3 linked regions of the Macaca mulatta genome follow. The protein of the gene in region 2 interacts with the protein of the main gene of each other region in a pairwise test. Links are inferred from orthologs where the notes say so. Each region holds a gene or a part of one and is shown on either strand. Other genes may lie near its edges.

Region 1 (6,240 bases), on a different chromosome or scaffold from region 2:
TTGACTGCTGAGGGCAGGTCAATGTCATCAAAACTGCGGAGCCAGGGGTCAAGAGTCAGGCTAACTTTGGGTTCAGGCTGGGCCTGTGGCAGAAGCCCCCTCCCTGTGCCAGGCCCAGACACTCACCCGCTGCTGAGTCTCTGCAGGGTTCGGTGGCCACAGTAGCTGTTGAACCCACGCACGTCCGGCAGGTGGCCCGAGTCAGCCAGGCTGAGGCTGCGCACAGATGGCGCTCGGGCCACAGGCTCCAGGATGGCCCCCGGCGCTGCCCCACCTACCCCGCGGCTCCGGTGGCTGCTCTGGAATCGCTGCAGGGTCCGCATGGCAGGGGCACGGATGGTCCGGCTCGGGGAAACCTCGGCGGCCTCGGGCCAGTCCAGCCCCCCTGCCCGGCTGGAGCTGGAGCTGGCCTGGCGCTCGTAGGCAAAGCCCCTGTAGGTGGAGGTGGCTGCAGGCTCCAGCTGCTCAGACACCAGGCTGTAGCGGTCGTCCAGGCCCCCGGACCCCAGCCGCAGCGAGCGCAGGGACAGTGTGTCATAGTCGGCCCGGCTGCCAACCCCACTGCGCTCGTGGAAGGACACAGGCCTGGCGGGCATGGGAGGGGTGGGCTGAGCACCCCCGTACCCAGTGGCCCCAAAGGCGCTGCCCCCGTTGTGGGCAGAACTCAGCCTCCGACTGCAGCTCAGGTCTACGGCGGAGCGGGAGGACCAGGAGGCTGGGCTGCAGGCTGGCTTGGCGATGGGCCGGAAGCCCTGTGGGTCGAGAGGGGGCAGTGAGGACGTGCCTGGGCTCACCTGCGTCCAGCCCTGCCGCAGAGCCTCCCCCTCTCCGAACTGCAGAGCTCAGATTGTCCCCCTCGGGCTGGGCCCGTTGCTCACCGAGGTCTTGTCCCCACTCAGGCCCTGAGAGCGAGAGCTGAAGCCAGACTGCAGGGTGTGGTACTGCCCCCAGGATGTGCCTGTGGAGAGGGACGGTGGTAGCCCAGCTCTGCCACACGGCAAAGCCCCGGCCTCCTGCCTCCTCCCCACTCCATCGCTATTCGCAACCCCAGGAGCAGCCTCCAATCCAGGGCAGGGAGGCCAGGGGCTTCGGGGCCAGGACCTCCCCATTCCTGCCATGGCCTGGTCTCCTCACATGTCAGCCCTGGTGGTCCACCTTCCACAGCCCACCCCCCAGCTGTGCCTCCTCTGCCCAAGAAGGCAGATGCGCTCACCCACTGACCTCCTGGTCGCCTGGAGGAATGTGCCAGGGACTCTGACATCAGTTCTCCAATCCCTGCCATGGTACAGCGCCCAGCCTCCTCCTCCAGGAAGCCAACCTGGCCTGCCCCAACTCACACTGACTCCTTTTGAGCCCCTCCTGTGCCCAAATCTCATCTGTGCCCAGTCACAGGAGAGTGACACTGTCTCCCTGGACCAGTATGCCCTGTTGCAGTGCTCTCTCCCATCCGGCAGAGCCCGAGGCAGGGGCCACACCCACCCCGTCCAGCCACACACACGCCAAGGGCAGCTGCGTCAGCCCGACTCCACAGTGAGTGGACAGACAGGCGGGTGGACAGAGGGCGGAGGGCGGAGGGTGGATGGAGAGACAGGCAGGAGGAGGATGGGAGGGCTGCTGTGACTGTTGGAAGGATGGACAGAGTGGTGGACGGAGGGGTGGGAGAGCCGGCGACAATGGTGGGTCCCGCAGGTGGATGGTGAGTGGGGAGAGGGATGGACTCGTGGGTGGGTGCAGAGAGGACGGGCTGATGGCGGGGGCATGAGAAGGCCCAGCAGAGCGACCACTGGCTGAGGGGCTCAGTGTGGGGTACAGGGAAGGGGGCCATGGCCCTCCCACAACTCTGCCCAGAGCTGGATGCTCTGTTGGGTACACCCCCACAGCAGGGGCCCCAGACTCACCCTGGTTAATGGGGCTTCTGGGCCGGGGCTATTAACTCTCTGACGCTGGTGAGGCCCAGCCCGGAGTAGGGGCACGCCCCAGCCTGGGGACCTCACCCCCACCCCCCAATTATAATCCACCCCCCTCTAATTGGCAGGGTAGCCAGGGTGGTAATTAACCCTTCCCTCACCGTCCTCCACCCCATGACCCCTGGGCACCCAACTTGGTCACCAGCAAGGCTGAGGCCCCTGAAGGGAGGACCCCACAGTCCAGGCCGCCGGGCCGGCCCTTCCGCTGGGTGACCTTCACTTCCCCCTGGCCAGTAGCTGGAGACCAGTCCTGGGGGTCCCCTCTAAACACCACGATGAACTGGCATCTGGGTCCCTGGCATTCTGGGAGGTTCCTCTTACTGTCTGACCTTAATCCCTGTTGCTGTAGCTGGCGAAGGAGGAAATGACGTTCTAGAACCACTGCCCTCAACCACAGCATCTGCGTGCTCCTGTCACTCACACTCACACGCATGCACACGCACTCGCGTGAGTGGGGCCAGGATTCCGCCACAGGTGGGTCTGGCTGGCACTGAGGGGTGCTCCTCCACCTGCTGTTCCCACAGAGAAATCTGGGTCACTCCAGTGGGGCCCTCCCCTCTAATTCCTCAGGGAGCCCCTGGTCCAGACAGGCCTGGCTTTCCTCCAGGACTTCCCAGCCCCCCCACACCTCTCCCCGCTTTCCTGTTCTGCTCATTCCCATGAGGTGTGGGAGAAGCGTGGGTGTCTGGGTGTCCCTGAGACCGTGCGTGAGCCTGTGCTTCTGGGGCAGTCGCGTGCGTGCTCCGGGTTTGCCGATTGAGGGGCCTGGCCCGCCTGCCGTGTGCCAGCCTTCCCTGTCATCCCCCACGGGGGAGGCTCTAGGCTGAGGACACAGGTGGGACCTGGCCAGGCTCTGTCCCTGGAGGACCCGGGGGTCCTTGCTTGGATGGGGAGCCCCACCCATGGCTTCTCCCCACGCCCGCTGGGGCGGGGTGCGTGACTCAGTGTGAGGCCTGGTGAGTCAGGAGCCAGCCTCACTGCGGCCTCTGCCCTCGCCCTACCACCTCCGCCCGCAGACACCTCTCTCCGCCACCATCGTCCCCGCCGCGGTCCCCTCTGCCCGGCACCTGCCTTGTGCCTTGGCCTACCTCTGGCAGTCTCCGCCTCAGGCTTGGGCTCAGCGGCCCCGTTGTGCCGCGGCTGCTGTCCCAGCTGCAAGAGGCGGGCGCGGACCTGCTCCTGGACGCGGGCCGCCCGCAGCCGCTCGGCCTCCGGCCCCTCGGCGCCCCGGCGGTCCAGCTGCAGGTCAGAGGGCAGCGCCAGGGAGCACACACCGGCCTCGGGCTGCAGGGCCGACAGCAGGAAGTTACCATCCTGCATGGCGGCAGGTCCACCGGGCCTAGGCCTGGCGGCCGCCTCCAAACTCAACTATCTTCACGTCCTGTCCCTCCAGGCCCTCTCCCTGAAGTCCCCGCCCCGCCAGCCTCACCCAGGGCCGCCTGGAGACAGACGCCTGCCCAGCCCTGAGCGCAGCTGGGGGCGGGGACACCTGGCCAGGTGGGAGGGAGGGGCCACCGCCTGCTTAAGGTGGAATTTGGGCGGAAGAACAGGCCCTGCATGGCCCCAGGTCCCAGCCTGGCCTCCTGCCTCCTTTTCTCCCATCCCACGACAGGGCCACGGGGGCCCTGGGTCCTTCTTGTTCTCAGCCTGTAAAGGCCGGACCGAGCCCTCTGTTGTGGGGCTGGGACAGAGGGGCCCTCTGTGTCCCGAGTGTCAGGGAAGGGCAGAGGTCCTGAGGGGGCCTATGTCCTGCCACCCCCAACATGAAGGGGAGGGTGTCCCACCCCCTGGGGGGTCTAGGGCCCTAGGTAGCTCCAAGGACCAGACAGCCTCCACGGTAGCCCAGCCTTGCTGGTGAGGCGGGGATGAGGCCTAGGAAGGGGTTGGCAGGAGACACTGTGGGGGGCCAGGGGTCAGTGCCGGGGTCAGGACACAGGATGGAGGGACGGAGCTTTAGGGTCCAACCGGACTCCATGGAGGCCCTGGTGCTTGGAACCCAGAGAGCCCCCTCCCCACAGGAAGCGTGTGGATGGACCGGCCCTCCCCCGAGGCCTGCCGACCCTGGAACTCACCCTCAGGACCCCCTCACCCCCCACAGAGGCCTCCAAAGGGCTGACTTGACCCTCTCTGGCTTCTGGGACCCTGGCACCACTGCTCCTGCCCCCCAGGCCCTCGGGTGGGAGGCCGTTCCCAGCACATGAGTCAGGGTGCAGGGGGCGGGGCTGCCCCAGGGGGTTGACTCAGAGGGGCCTGCACTCCTGTCAGCGCATGCCAGGTTGGGGCAGGAGCGGTGTGCGCTGAAGAACCAGGGGGTCTGGGAGAGCAGAGGCCGGGATGGAGAGGGAGTGAGGGTGGGGTGTGCGGGGAAGAACCAGGGGTCTGGGAGAGCAGTGGCTGGGATGGAGAGGGAGTGAGGGTGGGGGTGTGCGGGGAAGAACCAGGGGGTCTGGGAGAGCAGTGGCCGGGATGGAGAGGGAGTGAGGGTGGGGGTGGGGTGGCGGGGGAGGCCCAGACCAAGCAGGGCTTGTGCCCAGAAGGTCTCCTTCGAGCACCACAGCCAGTGGAGCCAGCAGGCAGGTTCTGAGGCCCTCTGGCCTCCGGGACAGGCCCCTGGTAGATGGGGGGGGTGGGGATAAGCCTAGGAGGGCTGGGGGTGGGAGCTGAACATCTTGACAACCCCTGGGCTTCTCTTATGAGCTCATCTGACAGCCTCTGCCTCTCTCTGGACCCTGGACCCGGGCTCTGGGCTCTCCTCTCGGGCATACCCTTCCCCTCAGTGAGGGTGGATCCAGGGTTAGGAGGCAGCATTAAGGGTGAGGTCAGTGCTGAGGGGAAGGAAGCTAGAGGTGGGAGTCGGAAATCAGCGTTGGGGGCTAAAGGGGGAGGGGAGGGCCCACTGAAAGGACAGGCGAGGCCTGGGCTGGGCCACCAGGTGGGGTCGGGGTGGTGGGGCAGGGGTGGGAGACCTACCCTGCCCATGGTCCGGATCCCGCCAGCCTCCCAGCTCATTCCAGAGGCCACTGCTGACAGCTGAGGTGTCCCGGGCTCCATCCCTGGCCTGGCGCGTGCGGGGCAGCCTCTGCGGTGGGACAGGACTGTGGGGGCCCCGGAGGGCGGGGTGGGAACGCCCAGCTCATCAGACTGGCTGATTCCCTGGGAGACGGGTTTCGTGTGGAAAAATCCTGGGAGACAAGTTTGTGCGGCACAGAGCGGGCCTGGAGGTATGTGCCTGGCATGGACTGGGCCCCGCCCTGCATCCAGGTCCACCCCAGGCCCACCTGGGGCCCTGCAGAGGCCAGGCGGGGCCGCGTGGCAGGGGAAGCCAGCCTGGAGGGCCTCTGCCGACCTTCCCTCCTCCCCTTGGCAGAGAGGGCTGCGGGTGTCCCCCAAGAGCTGCGGCGCCTCCCGGAGGATGCATGGTCCCTGCCAGGCACAGTTTTGGCAAAGCCAGGAATCTGGGGTGCACCTTCCCTCACCGCAGTCAGGCCAGAGGGATGGCGATGCCTGCTAGACCACCGCTGCAGCTTCCAGCCCCAGGCTCAGAGGAGTCTTATCTGAGCCCTGTGACCAGCCCCGAGTGTCTCGCTCTCCCTGGAGCCAGTTCCTGGCACAGGAGCCCTGGACGAGGGCTTGGTGGTGGGCTTCCTGGAGGAGGCGGTGGGCTTCCTGGAGGAGGCGGTTGTCTGTGGGGCCTGGAATCTGCATGTAGCCTCAGGTCGCTCTGGGTGCACAATCAGGTTGAGAACCCGGAACGTGAGGGCCTCGAAGGGTGAGTGAGCACTGCTCTTGGATCCCAGGTGGCAGGTGGCCTGTCAATCACCTCCCAAGAGGAGGTGGGAGAGGGCGCAGGAGGGCTTCGGGGTGCGGTGGGCTCAGCGTGGGGGGCATGGGAGGCACTCACGGAGAAGGTGGGCTGGGCCCAGGTCGGGGGTAGAGCTGCCAGGTGCATGCCTGGAGTTGTGGGAGGGCACATACTCAAGTCTACAGGGCAGAGCCTGCCTGGATGGAGGGGGATGGGGTGGGAGCCTTAAGGAGCAGAAGGGGGAGGATCTGGGGAGAAAGGTGTGAGGACGTTAGAAGCAAAATAATAGTCAAAACCGAATTCAGGAGTGTGCTGGTGCACAGAGAGGCTTGGGAGGCTGCCTCAGGTCCCACCGCCTGCAGCGGCGGGGTGGGGAGTGCATTCCCCAATGCCCTTGGTGGTTGATGGACCTAGTGTGGGGGCACAGTTCACCCAGAGGCAAGCGTCCTGGTGCTTCCTGTTGGCGCCCAC
Region 2 (6,066 bases):
CTTATGCAGCAATAGGAAACAAATACAAGTCACATGCCCACTCCTTGGCCAGAGGAGGGTGGGATACCTTGACTCACAGACAAAGTAACATTTCATCCAATGGCGGAGGGGTGGTGCCCCTTAAGTACAATTGAGGTGTCAGTATCAGTTGGGAGGATAGATTCTGGAATAAAAAACAAAAATGACCCATCACAACACATTCATTATCTGACATCTCATATGCCTTCAACATTCAACTCATGACTCTTCCCTACTGGAGGCTTTGTCTACTGCCATCTATACATCTCAATTTATATGCCATTGTGCCAGAGACTAACAAATAATACATGAGGGCAACAAAATGAGAGAGAACACTAAGCTACTATTACAAGTTATACCTCTGTCTGCCAATACACTCGTGTCGCTTAATGATAAGGATATGTTCTGAAAAATCCATCCTTAGATGATTTCCTCATTGTGCAAACATTATAGAGTGTACTTACACTAACCTAGATGGTATGGACTACCACACACTTAGTCTACATAATATAGCCCCTAGGGTCCCCAACTGGTACCCTAGGAGGTGAGCAGGTGAGAGAGAAAAGCTTCATCTGTATTTACAACCATTCCCCATTGCTCACATTACGACCTGAGCTCTACCTCCTATCAGATCAGCATTAGATTCTCATAGGAGCATGAACCCTACTGTAAAGTGCACAACCTACTGTGATGTAGGTTGTGTGTTCCTTATGAGAATCTAATGCCTGATGATCTGTCACTGCCTCCCATCACCCCCAGATGGGACTGTCTAGTTGCAGGAAAACAATCTCAGGGCTCCCACTGATTCTACTTTATGGTGAGTTGTGTATTTCATTATATATTACAATGTAATAATAATAGAAATAAAGTACACAATAAATGTAATGCACTTAAATCATCCCAAAACCATCCTCCCTCCCCCAGTCTGTGGAAAACTGTCTTCAACAAAACTGGTCTTTGGTGCCAAAAAGGTTGGGGACCACTGGTGTAGCCTATGCTCCTAGACTACAAACCTGTACAGCATATTCCGTAGGCAACCGTAACACAATAGTGTTTGTGTGTATAAACATAAAAAAGATACAGTGAAAACACAGTATTAAAGTTTTATGGGACTACTGCTGTATATGTGGTCCACCATTGACCCAAATGTCATTATGAGGCACATGACTGTAATTAGCTATGTGAACTTGGGCAAGCTATTCATGGCCACAGTTTCCTCCTGTAGATGAAGAGATTGGACCAGCTTTAATGGTTCTTCCAGCATTAAAATTCTATGATTTTACAAAATGCTCCCAAAACCATCAAAATAATTTAAAATAAATTTCTGATTTGCTATAAAAGAAAAAAGAAATGCCATACTGCTCCCAATCACATCCCCTGTTCCTCCCAGTATTCTGTCTGCCTCTGAATATGGCACCAAGAAGGGTTTTCTGAGAAAGTCACAACATATTTGCCTTCCACACCCAAATTAGCTTAATAAAAACTGCCACATTAAAAAAACAGAAACAGGGAGTGGCAGGGAGGAGACCATCAGGATCACCAGTGGACCTTTACCAACTGAAATTTGTATATGGTTGCAAAACAATGTTTTATGATATGATTGTCATGAATTAGGAACATATGTATTTTACTTCTGTATTCCTAACTTGCTGCTTACTGCATTAAATGACAATGCTAAAGACTTAAGGTTGGAGCCAAAAGAACTCATTTGGATTTGGAAATTCACACTTTTGCAGGGGGGGGTGGTGAGAGGAATCAACAATTTTGATCTCTTGGCTCATTCTAGCATTATAATAAATCAGCAAAGAAAAAAATTATTTCACTGTTTTAAAAGCCTACATTAACTCAAACAAGCTAAAAGTTAAATATTAAATATAGGTATTTCACTTGAAATGTTGCAAAGACATTTTAATCACAATTGTTCTCACAAAATATACAATAACTTTATAATCGATTATTTTCCCCATAGTCTTGCTTTCCCCTCCCAAAATAAAGAAAGCCCTCTGAAAGTAAAAATTTTGATTGAGCAATTTTAACCATAATCAATTTCCATTACTGTCAAGCTTTGAAGCAATTGAAGGGATTCTTTAAAGGGAAAGGAAAGGTTATGGAAGAAAAGGAGCTTTCAGTAAACATTATCATCATTCAACTGCACAGAAGGAAAGATAAAAATGGCTTCAAGATCAAAATACAATGAGTAAAATTAGGTAAAGTTAAATTCTAGGTTATCTCAGGGCATAGGTAAGGGAGGAGGTTACCCCTCATATTGTCTTATGCCCAATTTCTGCCTCCAAAGAAAGAAGTAAAAACTAAAAGGCAGAAATGAAATCCACTGGCAGACAGCCCAGCGCCACACCCTGGGCCTGGTAGTTAAAGATCAACCCCGATCGGTTATGTTATCTATAGATTACAGACATTGTATAGAAAAGCACTGTGAAAATTCCTGTCCTGTTCTATTCTGTTCTAATTACTGGCACATGCAGCCCCCAGTCATGTACCCCCTGCTTGCTCAATCCATCATGACCCTCTCACGCAGACCCCCTTAGAGTTGTAAGCCGTTAAGATGGACAGGAATTGCTCACTCAGGGAGCTTGGTTTTTGAGAAGTGAGTCTTGCCAATGCTCCCAGCTGAATAAAGCCCTTCCTTCTTTAACTCCGGGTCTGAGGAATTTTGTCTGCAGCTTGTCCTGCTACATAGGTACAATCTAAGGACAAGATTTAAAAAACAAAAATGTTCTTGCACAATACCTATTGGAAAAAGTGCAAGTGAATTTTGTGTTTATGATAAAATCCATGCCTGGCCATATTGGGAATTATTTTGTTCCCATGCAGTATTCATAGAGAAAATGGGATCCCTCCTGTAGCTCTGCCAAAATAAAAGAATAAAATTCCTGAAAGAACAATCTCAAATCAGACAAAATTTATCCTCACAATTCTCAAATATTCTGCTCCTCTTCCACAATTAAATGGGTGTAGACATTTAACAATACACTTTGGTTTCGAGAAATGGTATGGAAGGTCTCAAGAAAAGTTACACACCTTAACTAGCAGAACCACAACACAGAGGCTTCCAAAGGTGGAGCTGCCTTCCTGCCTTATTATGAAACGTACCATTATGAGAAGGGCAGTGAGTTTCCATGAATACTCCTAGAAACTTAAACTAGTGAAAGGCCTTCTGTTATTTTTCTCAAATTGTCCATCAACAGAACTTGGCGCTTCTGTGGCGCCACGTGACGCAGGTAGTGGCTTCGGAGGCGCTCTGGAATCAGCCGCGCCAACCTGCGGCACAACCCCGGGCCTCAGGCCTGAGGTGGGCAACAGGACCAGACCTCGGTTCTCAAGGCTTTAACGAAATAACGCTGGTAAAGCATCTAGGGCAGAAGCCACACAGAACACAAGAAGGCATTAATGGCATTTGAAGGTATTGAATGCAGACTAATGCGCAGAACTTGGTTCTCAGACCACGTCCCCGGCCACCCATCTCCTGGGAGAGCGGAGAGCACACTTGCGGCCTGACGTCTCCCAGCTGAGCTCGGCAATGAAGGGATCACTGAAGAATTAAAAAATGGGAGACGACTGCTTGGGCAGAAGCCCGCGGGGGACTAGCCCACGGGCAAGTACCCCGACTCCTCACACTTCCTGCCTCAATGCGCAGAAGAAAGTGTTCTGAAGGCGACGCCCCGCCAAGGCGGGAAACGCCGCGGAAGACGCTTCTCTCGCAGAAATGCCAAATTTTCGGGAGCGCGGGCCCGCAGCACGTAAGAGAACAGATCTTTTTGTTTCACGGCCCTCTGGTAGACTTAATGAAGCGGGAGGGCGAAAACCAGGTCAACGACCAGAAGCCAGGCAAGGTTGCGATTTTCGAAGCACAGCGAAGGGAAGAGTTTCTAAGTTCTGAACGTACCTCTACTCAGGGTGGTTTCTATTATTTCTTCGCGTCTACCCTGTAGTTCCCGCACCCGGAGCCCTCAGCCCCGCCGCTTCTCGGCGAGCTGAGCTCAGAGGGTGCGTGCCCCGCCCGCTCGCGGGCCTGGCGTGAGCGCAGTGGTTGTTACACTAAAGTGTCTCCGCCTCTCTGATCTCCTCGTGGCAGCGATGGCCGAGTGGTTAAGGCGTTGGACTTGAAATCCAATGGGGTCTCCCCGCGCAGGTTCGAACCCTGCTCGCTGCGGAAGCGGGTGCTTCTGTCTTTTCGATTATTTTTAATAAACACCTTCAAATGAAAACTTTTACTCTTCTCTCTGTATTTTCAATGCCTGCCAGCTAAATGGCGCGCCAACGGAGTGGTTTTATACGCCGTAGAAAAGTAAATAAATGTCAGTGCAAACACGCACTGTTTACACCAAGAGGAAAATCCTTCCACTGCCCTAAAAGGCAAGGTAACTAACTCCTCGTGCTCCATGAGAAGAGCAAGCTGGCAAAATAGAAGTAAAATGAATATAAATACTGATGCAAGTTTTCGCGCTATCACAGCCTGAGCAAACTATCAGCTCACTAAAACTAAGAACAACGCTATGCCACCTTCCCTTCCATCCCAGAATCACTTCCAACGGTTTGCAGACCACATCCAAAAGTGATATGAAATGGGAGATAATAAAAGCAATTTTAAAGTTCTACTTATAAAGCATCTTAGACACATCCACATAATGTAATACTATGCATGTAAGCATTAAAATGATGTTAATGATGTGGGAGGGCCTTCCCAATGCATTGCCCAATGCAAAAACTAGGACAGATCGAAAAACAGCATTATGATAACATTTTTGTTAAGCAATTCATGTATATACCCATCCATGTGGGAAAAATGGGAGAGAAAGAGAGAGAGATGGAGAATGAATGGAGGCTGGAAAGAAATACACCAAAATGTTAGCAGGGATTATTATCCCTGGGTGCTGTGATTTGGGAAGATTTTTGTTTTCTTAAATAATTTTTTCCTTAACTGGGTTTTCTAAAATTTCTACATGGACCCAGTATTATGTTTTAAATAAGAAAATTGTGAGGTTAGTCTTTGGGACCCTACACATCCCCTGTCTGCTTCCTGTAACCCACTTTCACCATATCTCTCCCACCCCATGCTTCCCAGGCGCTCTTACGGACTTACCTGATACCTCAAGGCTAGGGATAGTTTTCTGTGGTACCTAAGTGGATTCCACCCACACAGCCCCATCCTATTTGAGACTTGGCTGAACACACACACTCACCATATTTACATTTTCAATCCGTCCTCTCTGCCCAATCCCCACCCTTTCTGCCCCCATTTAAGTCACTTACGAGCAGCTGCATTAGTTTCCTAACTGGTCACCTTTCCTGTATCAGTCAGGATTACATTCAGCTGCAAATAACAGAAAATCCAATTCTAGTGACTTAAACTCATAGGGATTTGTCTCTAAAAACCTGGGAGATTAATACCATTCCTGTATCCAAGAGAATGAAATAGTCTATAACTTATTTGTTTGCATCTAAAATTTTTAAAAATACGTGACACTATATTAAAATGGCAATCCTGGCCAGGCGCAGTGGCTCATGCCTGAAATTCCAGCACTTTGGGAGGCCGAGGCGGGTGGATCACCTGAGGTCAGGAGTTCGAGACCAGCCTGGCCCCATGGTGACCCCATCTCTACTAAAAATATGAAAATTAGCTGGGCCTGGGGGCAAGGACCTGTAATCCCAGTTACTCAGGAGGCTGAGGCAGAGGAATCTCTTGAACCAGAGGCGGAGGTTGCCGTGAGCTGATATCACGCGACTGCACTCCAGCCTGGGCAACAAGAGTGAAACTCCATCTCAAAAAAAAAAAAAAGTGAATCCAAGAAGGAGAGATATCTAAAATTATAAATTAAAACATTCCATCAAAAAGGCAAATTAATGATCAATTTTATTTCTAAATGGTTCTCTCCAAGCTGTAAAGTTAGCTTCATTTGACAACTCTTTTTTCTTGTGAAATATCTTATGGTTTCAAGAAATGTTTTCAAATAGTCACTTGTCACCATTTTTTAAAAAAAGAAAGAAAGAACAAAGAAATCTGGGAATAGGAAATTCTCAGATGGAACA
Region 3 (6,018 bases), on a different chromosome or scaffold from region 2:
ATACCCGCTTTTATTTTATTTTATTTTATTTTTTTGAGTCAGGGACTCACTCTGTTGCCCAGGCTGGAATACAGTGACACAGCTCACTGCAGCCTTGACCTCCCTGGGCTCAGGTAATCCTCCCACCTCAACCCTTCCAGTAGCTGGGACCATAGGCATGCACCACCATGCCCGGCTAATTTTTCTATTTTTTGTAGAGACAGGGTTTCACCATGTTGCCCAGACTGGTCTGGAATTCCTGGGCTCAATCAAGCAATCCGCCCTTGTGGGCCTCCTAATATGCTGGGATTACAGGTTTGAGCCATCCAGCCTGTTCAGCCATAAGGATTAAGTAAGAATAGTTAATGAAAGTGCTTGGTTTGGGCCAGGTGAGGTGGCTTACGCCTATAATCCCAGCACTTTTGGGAGGCCGAGGCAGGCGAATCACAAGGTCAGTAGATCAAGACCAGCCTGCGCAACATGGTGAAACCCCATCTCTACTAAAAATACAAAAATTAGCCGGACGTGGTGGCACGCACCTGTAATCCCAGCTACTCAGGAGGCTGAGGCAGGAGAATCGCTTGAACCTAGGAGGCGGAGGTTGCAGTGAGCCTAGGTGACAGAGCGAGACTCCACCTCAAAAAAAAACAAAAAGAAAAAGAAAGTGCTTGGTTTCTGTAAAGTCTGACCTTGATCTTGAGTTACCATTTGTCAAGTACTTACCGGGTAGATAGGTGTTGTATTCCCATTTTGCCAAAGAAGTCACTGAGACTCAGGCAATGTAATGAGAGACAGAGCTGGTTCTCAAACCCAGCTCAGTTCAAGCCCAAAGCCCTGTGCTCAGAACTGCCCCACTGTCCCATCTCTCCAAATAAACAGTCCTTCTGTAGACTAGTCAATTGACCGATCTCATTCTAAGGTGGCTCCAGGAAGGGAAGAAGGTTGGCAGCCCTAGCCCGACCTTTTTCGTTCCTATACACTGCATTCTCAAAGCCTCAGCCCTGGCAGCCCAGAGGTTCCAGAGGGAATGGAGTGGAGCCAGGGTGCAAGGGAGGGGTGGAGTGGGGGTGGGAGGGCTCAAATCACCCAAGCTGGGGCTTGATCTAGCAAGAAATGACTAATTGGGTCCTACCTTCTCCTCCTCCGCGTCCCCCAGTCCAGTCAGTGGCCAGTTTTCACCAGGCACCTCCTAGTAGTACTTCCTCAGTATTATCTTTTCATCACAGCCACAAACCAGATTAGCTAAACTAATCATTTAGCCAACATAATTACAATGCCCTCCCCTCCTCCACCTTGGCAGGGAGAAGAGGGAAAGCAGGTTATTTTTGCCCAAACTCCGTGCTCCTGTTGCTCCCCAGAGGTGCACCGCCCCCCTCCTCCAGCAGAAAAGGATCTGAGTTCCCACACTGACTTCCCCCTAGCCCCGGGCTGAGCGTGATCCCCACCCAGGATAAAGGGGCTGAGTCTGGGCCCCCAGCCTCACTCCCCCATCTACAACAAAGAAAGAGGTGGTAGACTCTCCCCCTCCAAGCACTCTCCATCCCCGCTCCCCGCAATCTTTCTCCCACCCCCAGGACTGAGAGAGAACCCAACTGTGGTATTCTCTCTCTGTTCCCCAAGGAGGCTGGGCTCCAAATCCTGCAAAAAGACCACACTTCAGATTGTTTTTTAAACCGGGGTAGAAAGCCTGGTCAAGATTCCCAATTCGGGAGGGTAGGGGGGGTCTCAGGAAATTGGGAGCAGGGAAGGCAGGGGCCCGATGCAGCTCTGCCTGAGGGAGTCTAGCACTGAAGAAACCTTCCCCCAAAAAGCCTTCCTCCGGTCTCACTTTCCCTGTCAAATTCTTTCAGGAAAGGGGGTGGGAAAGGTCTGTGCAGGCCTCCAGAAAGCATGCACCTTCATAATTCAGAAATCAAATGGAAGGCAAGTCCCACAGCCTCATGCTCTTTTGCCTCAATTACCAGCCAGCTAAGTAATGTGGGGGATGGGGTAGAGAAAAAAAAAAAGACAAGAACAACCACTCCCCCCACCTTCCTCAGTTTGGCCCAGCCCTGCCCCACCCCCATTCCTGGGGAGGGGGCAGAGCTTGAGAGAGAGAGCCGCTTACGCAGGCCTCGTCTGAGGGGGTGTGGTGGTCCCCGGAGGCAGGAAGAGAAGGAAGAAGCTGCTTCCCCTCTCAGCACTTTCCACCCCCCACCCCGGCCCCCACCTCAGGCCCCTGGGGCCCAGCGAAGAGGATGAAGGTGGGGGCAGGGAAGACAGGGTCGGAGCGCAGGCACCCGCCCAGGTTCAGCCAGGGGCCGGCTAGGGGAAGGGGCTTTGCACCAAGAAGGACCCCCTAAGCCTAAAGGAAGTTTTGGGCAAGGAGACAGGAAAACCCCCAGATCAAGCTGCTGTGAATACTTCCTCCTGCAAAGTTTGTTTTGGGTGATTTTTCCAACAATAAGAGGTTAGAGAAGAAGACGGGTCCTGTTCCCCTACCAACACTCTAGCAACCACAGCTACTGGAAACTGGGCCAGGTGACCCTGAATTCTTCATCCGTGCACAGACCCCACCCCCCAGACTCCAGGGCGAGCCACGGATGCCAGACACACCAGCTGGACACTGGGTCGAGCCCTGCACCCACCACTGTCACTCCATCCCACCTCCGCTGAAGAAGCCAGAGCCCGGCTCCCACCGGAGTGGAGGGAGGCGCCGCAGGTAGTATGGACGAGGCTCTGGGAGTTGGAGGGCAGGGCCTCTGGACTCCGTGCGCTCACCTGCTCGGCAGGTGGGGCCAGCGTCGCTAGGAAAATGTGTGCTCGGCCCCCACAGTTGGGCAAGCTGGGCGCAGACAATAGGGCCCCACCCAGGCCTGGGGGAGTAGGGAGGGAGGGAAAGCGAGGATGACGCGTGGGGTGGGGTGAGAGTGGCCCCAGAGACCAGCGACAGCAAGTTTCCCAAACGGTAAATTCCTGACTGCAGCGTGAGCCCTGGGACGCAGTCAAAGCAGGGCAAAGTCTCCCCCACCAGCTCAGGGCGAGAGTCAGGGACGCGGCGTCGGGCGAGGGGCGCGGGCCCCGGGGGAGGCACGACTCCGGAGGCACCTGTCCGGATCCCTCCCGCCCTGCTCAGATCTCTGGCTCGCGGAGCTCCCAGGCGCGCTCTGCCCAAACCGCGCGACCCCCAGGTCGCCGCGCCCAGGACCCCAGCGCGCCCCCTGCCGCCGGTGCAGGGTGGCGCTCCATGGCACCCGCCCTCACCTGCCCAGAGACGGCAGGGACCGGCCTCGCGGGCGCTCGCCACCCCTTCTCTCCCCAGCGATACCTGCTCCCAATCGCCCGCACCTTAGTATGGGGCCTGGCCGGGCCGGGTCGGGGTCGGGCCGGGGTGGGAGCCGGCGCAGGCAGCTAACTGAGCTCGGCGTGGTCGGGCGGCGGCTGCTCCGGACTCTGGCCAAGGCAGCAACTCAGTAACCGAACAAAAGGCAAAGAGACCTGACAGCCAAGCCACGCCCCTCGCCACCTCGAAGCTCCGCCCCTGGGGGTGACGCCCACCCTCTGGTGCGAGCTCACTGGCTGTCTCGCCTGACTGTCCCGTCGAGGGGCGGAGCCTCACCTCCAGTCCTCTTCCACGGCCGCCTCTGTTTATCCGCTTGCCATTGGCCCCAGGGACTGCCAGTCGGCTCTAGGGATGGACTCTAACTTGAGGTCTCATCCTAACACTGCACCTATTGGCAGATAGAAAGTTACTTCCTCCTGATTGGACAAGGGGCTGTCAGTAAGACTAAGGAAAAAACCAATGGAAGGGATGGGGTGTGTCTTGCCCCACCCTTGCTCTGAGCAGGTGAGACTCATTACTCTCCCCTTCCCCCTACCTGTCCAACAGGTAAGTCAGGGGATACTAAGGGAAGGGACAGACGCCTTCACCGGCCAGCCAACTCAGCGTCAAGCATGATGCTTCTTTGGGCTTATTCATCCTTGCCCCAAAGTAGTAATCACATATTTGTATAGCATTTCATAGGCTTTGTGCTGGGTTGGGATTTTTTCCCCCCAAAGATGGAGTACTCCTGGGATTTAGAATTAGAAGGCCAGGGTTTGTGTTCTCCCACTTAGTATGATCTTAGACAAGTTACTTCACCCTGTTTCTCCTCATCTGTAAACTGGATACATTAGCCGTATCTACCTCACTGGAGTATGTGGGGATTAAATGAAGTCAGGTTTGTGAAAGCACTCGGAAACTGCTAAAGGTTAGAATTTAAATTAATGGTATTTTTGTTTTAATTATTGTGACAGCTCTGAAAAAATAGTTAAGATGAGAAAACGACCCTCATTGTAAAGATGAAGAAACCGAGGTTCAGATAAGTCACAAAACTACAAAGTGGCACACCCCAAGCTAGAACCTCCTTCTCATTTGAAGGACCATCGAACCAGCTGTTCCCTTCATGGAACATAAAATGCATAGACATAAAATGTCAAGGCAATGGGGGAAGGGGCAGAGAAAAGGCACAAACACTGGGAGGAGAGACAGAACAATTAATTGGCACAAAAATACAGTATTGGTGTCAGGAGGCTTTGATGGGTTTGGAAACATCAAGCAGCAGATCTGAAAGAAACCCAGGCATGAAAGAAACGGGGCAGGCCAAGGTGGGTGGATAACCTGAGGTCGGGAGATCAACACCAGCCTGGCCAATATGGTGAAACTCCATATCTACTAAAAATACAAAAAATTAGCTGGGCGTGGTGGCGGGCAACTATAATCCCAGCTGCTTGGGAGACTGAGGCAGGAGAATTGCTTGAGCCCGGGAGGCGGAGGTTGCAGTGAGCTGAGATCATGTCACTGCACTCCGGCCTCAGCGTGACAGAGTGAGACTCCATCTCAAACAAAAAGAAAAAGAAAAAAAGAAACTGGGTAGCACATCCCTCCACGATAGGAGAGCCTGGGGTAGAGATCAGAAAGAACTTCTCGGCCAGGTGTGGTGGCTTATGCCTGTAATCCCAGCACTTTGGGAGGCCAAGGTGGGCAGATCACTTGAGGTCAGGAGTTCAAGACCAGTCTGGCCAACATGGTGAAACCTCGTCTCTACTAAAAATACAAAAATTAGCCAGGCATGGTGGTGGGCGCCTGTAATCCCAACACTTTGAGAGGCTGAGGCAGGCAGATCACCTGAGGTTGGGAGTTTGAGACCGGACTGGCCAACATGGTGAAACCCCCGTCTCTACTAAAACTACAAAAAATAGCCGGCATGGCAGCGGGCACCTGTAATCCCAGCTACTCAAGAGGCTGAGGCAGAAGAATCACTTGAACCTGGGAGGCGGAGTGAGCTGAGATCATGCCATTGCACTCCAGCCTGGACGACGGAGTGAGACTCTGTCTCAAAAACATAAAAAGAACTTTTCACAGGCAGCTTAAGAAGACAAGGGCACTTCCTTTCTGTGGTTGATGACATGAATGCTGGTCGTGGTTGTATGGTGTGCCAAGGACCCTACAAACATTCCTTCATTCAGCACTTGAGTATTCAGTGTCAACTCTATGTTAGGCACTGGTGAACACAGAAAATAAAATCTGGTGACACAGAATATAAAAATGATCCCAACCTTCAAAGAGATCATAGAAGGATAAGCAGAAGCAGCCTGTGTGGGTGGGTGTTGGGGGAGTGGTGGTTTAGAAAAAGGTCCCCTGGCAACAAAGCACTACAGCTCCAAAGCTAGCACACAGGAGGGGCTGGATGAAGGTACCTTAGCAGCGTCCTTGACCACTTTCCCCACCGGAGAAAGGAATGGTAGCTGAACATTCTCCCTTCTGAAGTTGCACCATCCAAAAGCAGGGCCAGGGAGATACGGACACCCCTGAACTATTGGCCATCCCATAACCAGGGCCACTGCCCTTTGCCTGTTTCCCCAACTCCCGATCCTCCAGCTTACCTCCCTGTCTTATTCCCTGCCTTATCCCTGCCCCATCCACTTGCTTGTCACCCTGGCACACAGAGCTGTAGCCAGGCCACAGCTGGGGGGGGGAATGGGCTCACAATCCTGGACTGCTGCAGCTGCCAGGGTTTC

What was found. The genes of interacting proteins can lie anywhere in the genome.
Region 1: the proteins of CTNNA3 (region 2) and PKP3 interact in a two-hybrid assay, tested with the Homo sapiens proteins (2 studies listed by IntAct). The link is inferred for Macaca mulatta from reciprocal best matches to the Homo sapiens genes CTNNA3 and PKP3.
Region 3: the proteins of CTNNA3 (region 2) and JUP interact in binary tests that used the Homo sapiens proteins (3 or more experiments, as listed by UniProt). The link is inferred for Macaca mulatta from reciprocal best matches to the Homo sapiens genes CTNNA3 and JUP.

Annotation. Positions count from the first base shown.
Region 1 is NC_133419.1:290,513-296,752, reverse strand, and holds the start of PKP3 (plakophilin-3), read right to left. Parts: upstream 3,410-6,240; 5' UTR 3,288-3,409; coding exon of another isoform or gene 3,281-3,287; coding exon 3,056-3,280; intron 2,480-3,055; coding exon 2,389-2,479; exon of another isoform or gene 2,297-2,388; intron 959-2,296; coding exon 879-958; intron 753-878; coding exon 127-752; intron 34-126; coding exon 1-33. UniProt on the Homo sapiens protein: A component of desmosome cell-cell junctions which are required for positive regulation of cellular adhesion. Required for the localization of DSG2, DSP and PKP2 to mature desmosome junctions.
Region 2 is NC_133414.1:82,012,983-82,019,048, reverse strand, and holds the start of CTNNA3 (catenin alpha-3), read right to left. Parts: upstream 4,026-6,066; 5' UTR 3,923-4,025; intron 164-3,922; 5' UTR 97-163; coding exon 68-96; intron 1-67. UniProt on the Homo sapiens protein: May be involved in formation of stretch-resistant cell-cell adhesion complexes.
Region 3 is NC_133421.1:66,113,345-66,119,362, forward strand, and holds the start of JUP (junction plakoglobin), read right to left. Parts: upstream 3,410-6,018; 5' UTR 3,307-3,409; exon of another isoform or gene 645-3,306; intron 205-644; exon of another isoform or gene 8-204; intron 1-7. UniProt on the Homo sapiens protein: Common junctional plaque protein. The membrane-associated plaques are architectural elements in an important strategic position to influence the arrangement and function of both the cytoskeleton and the cells within the tissue.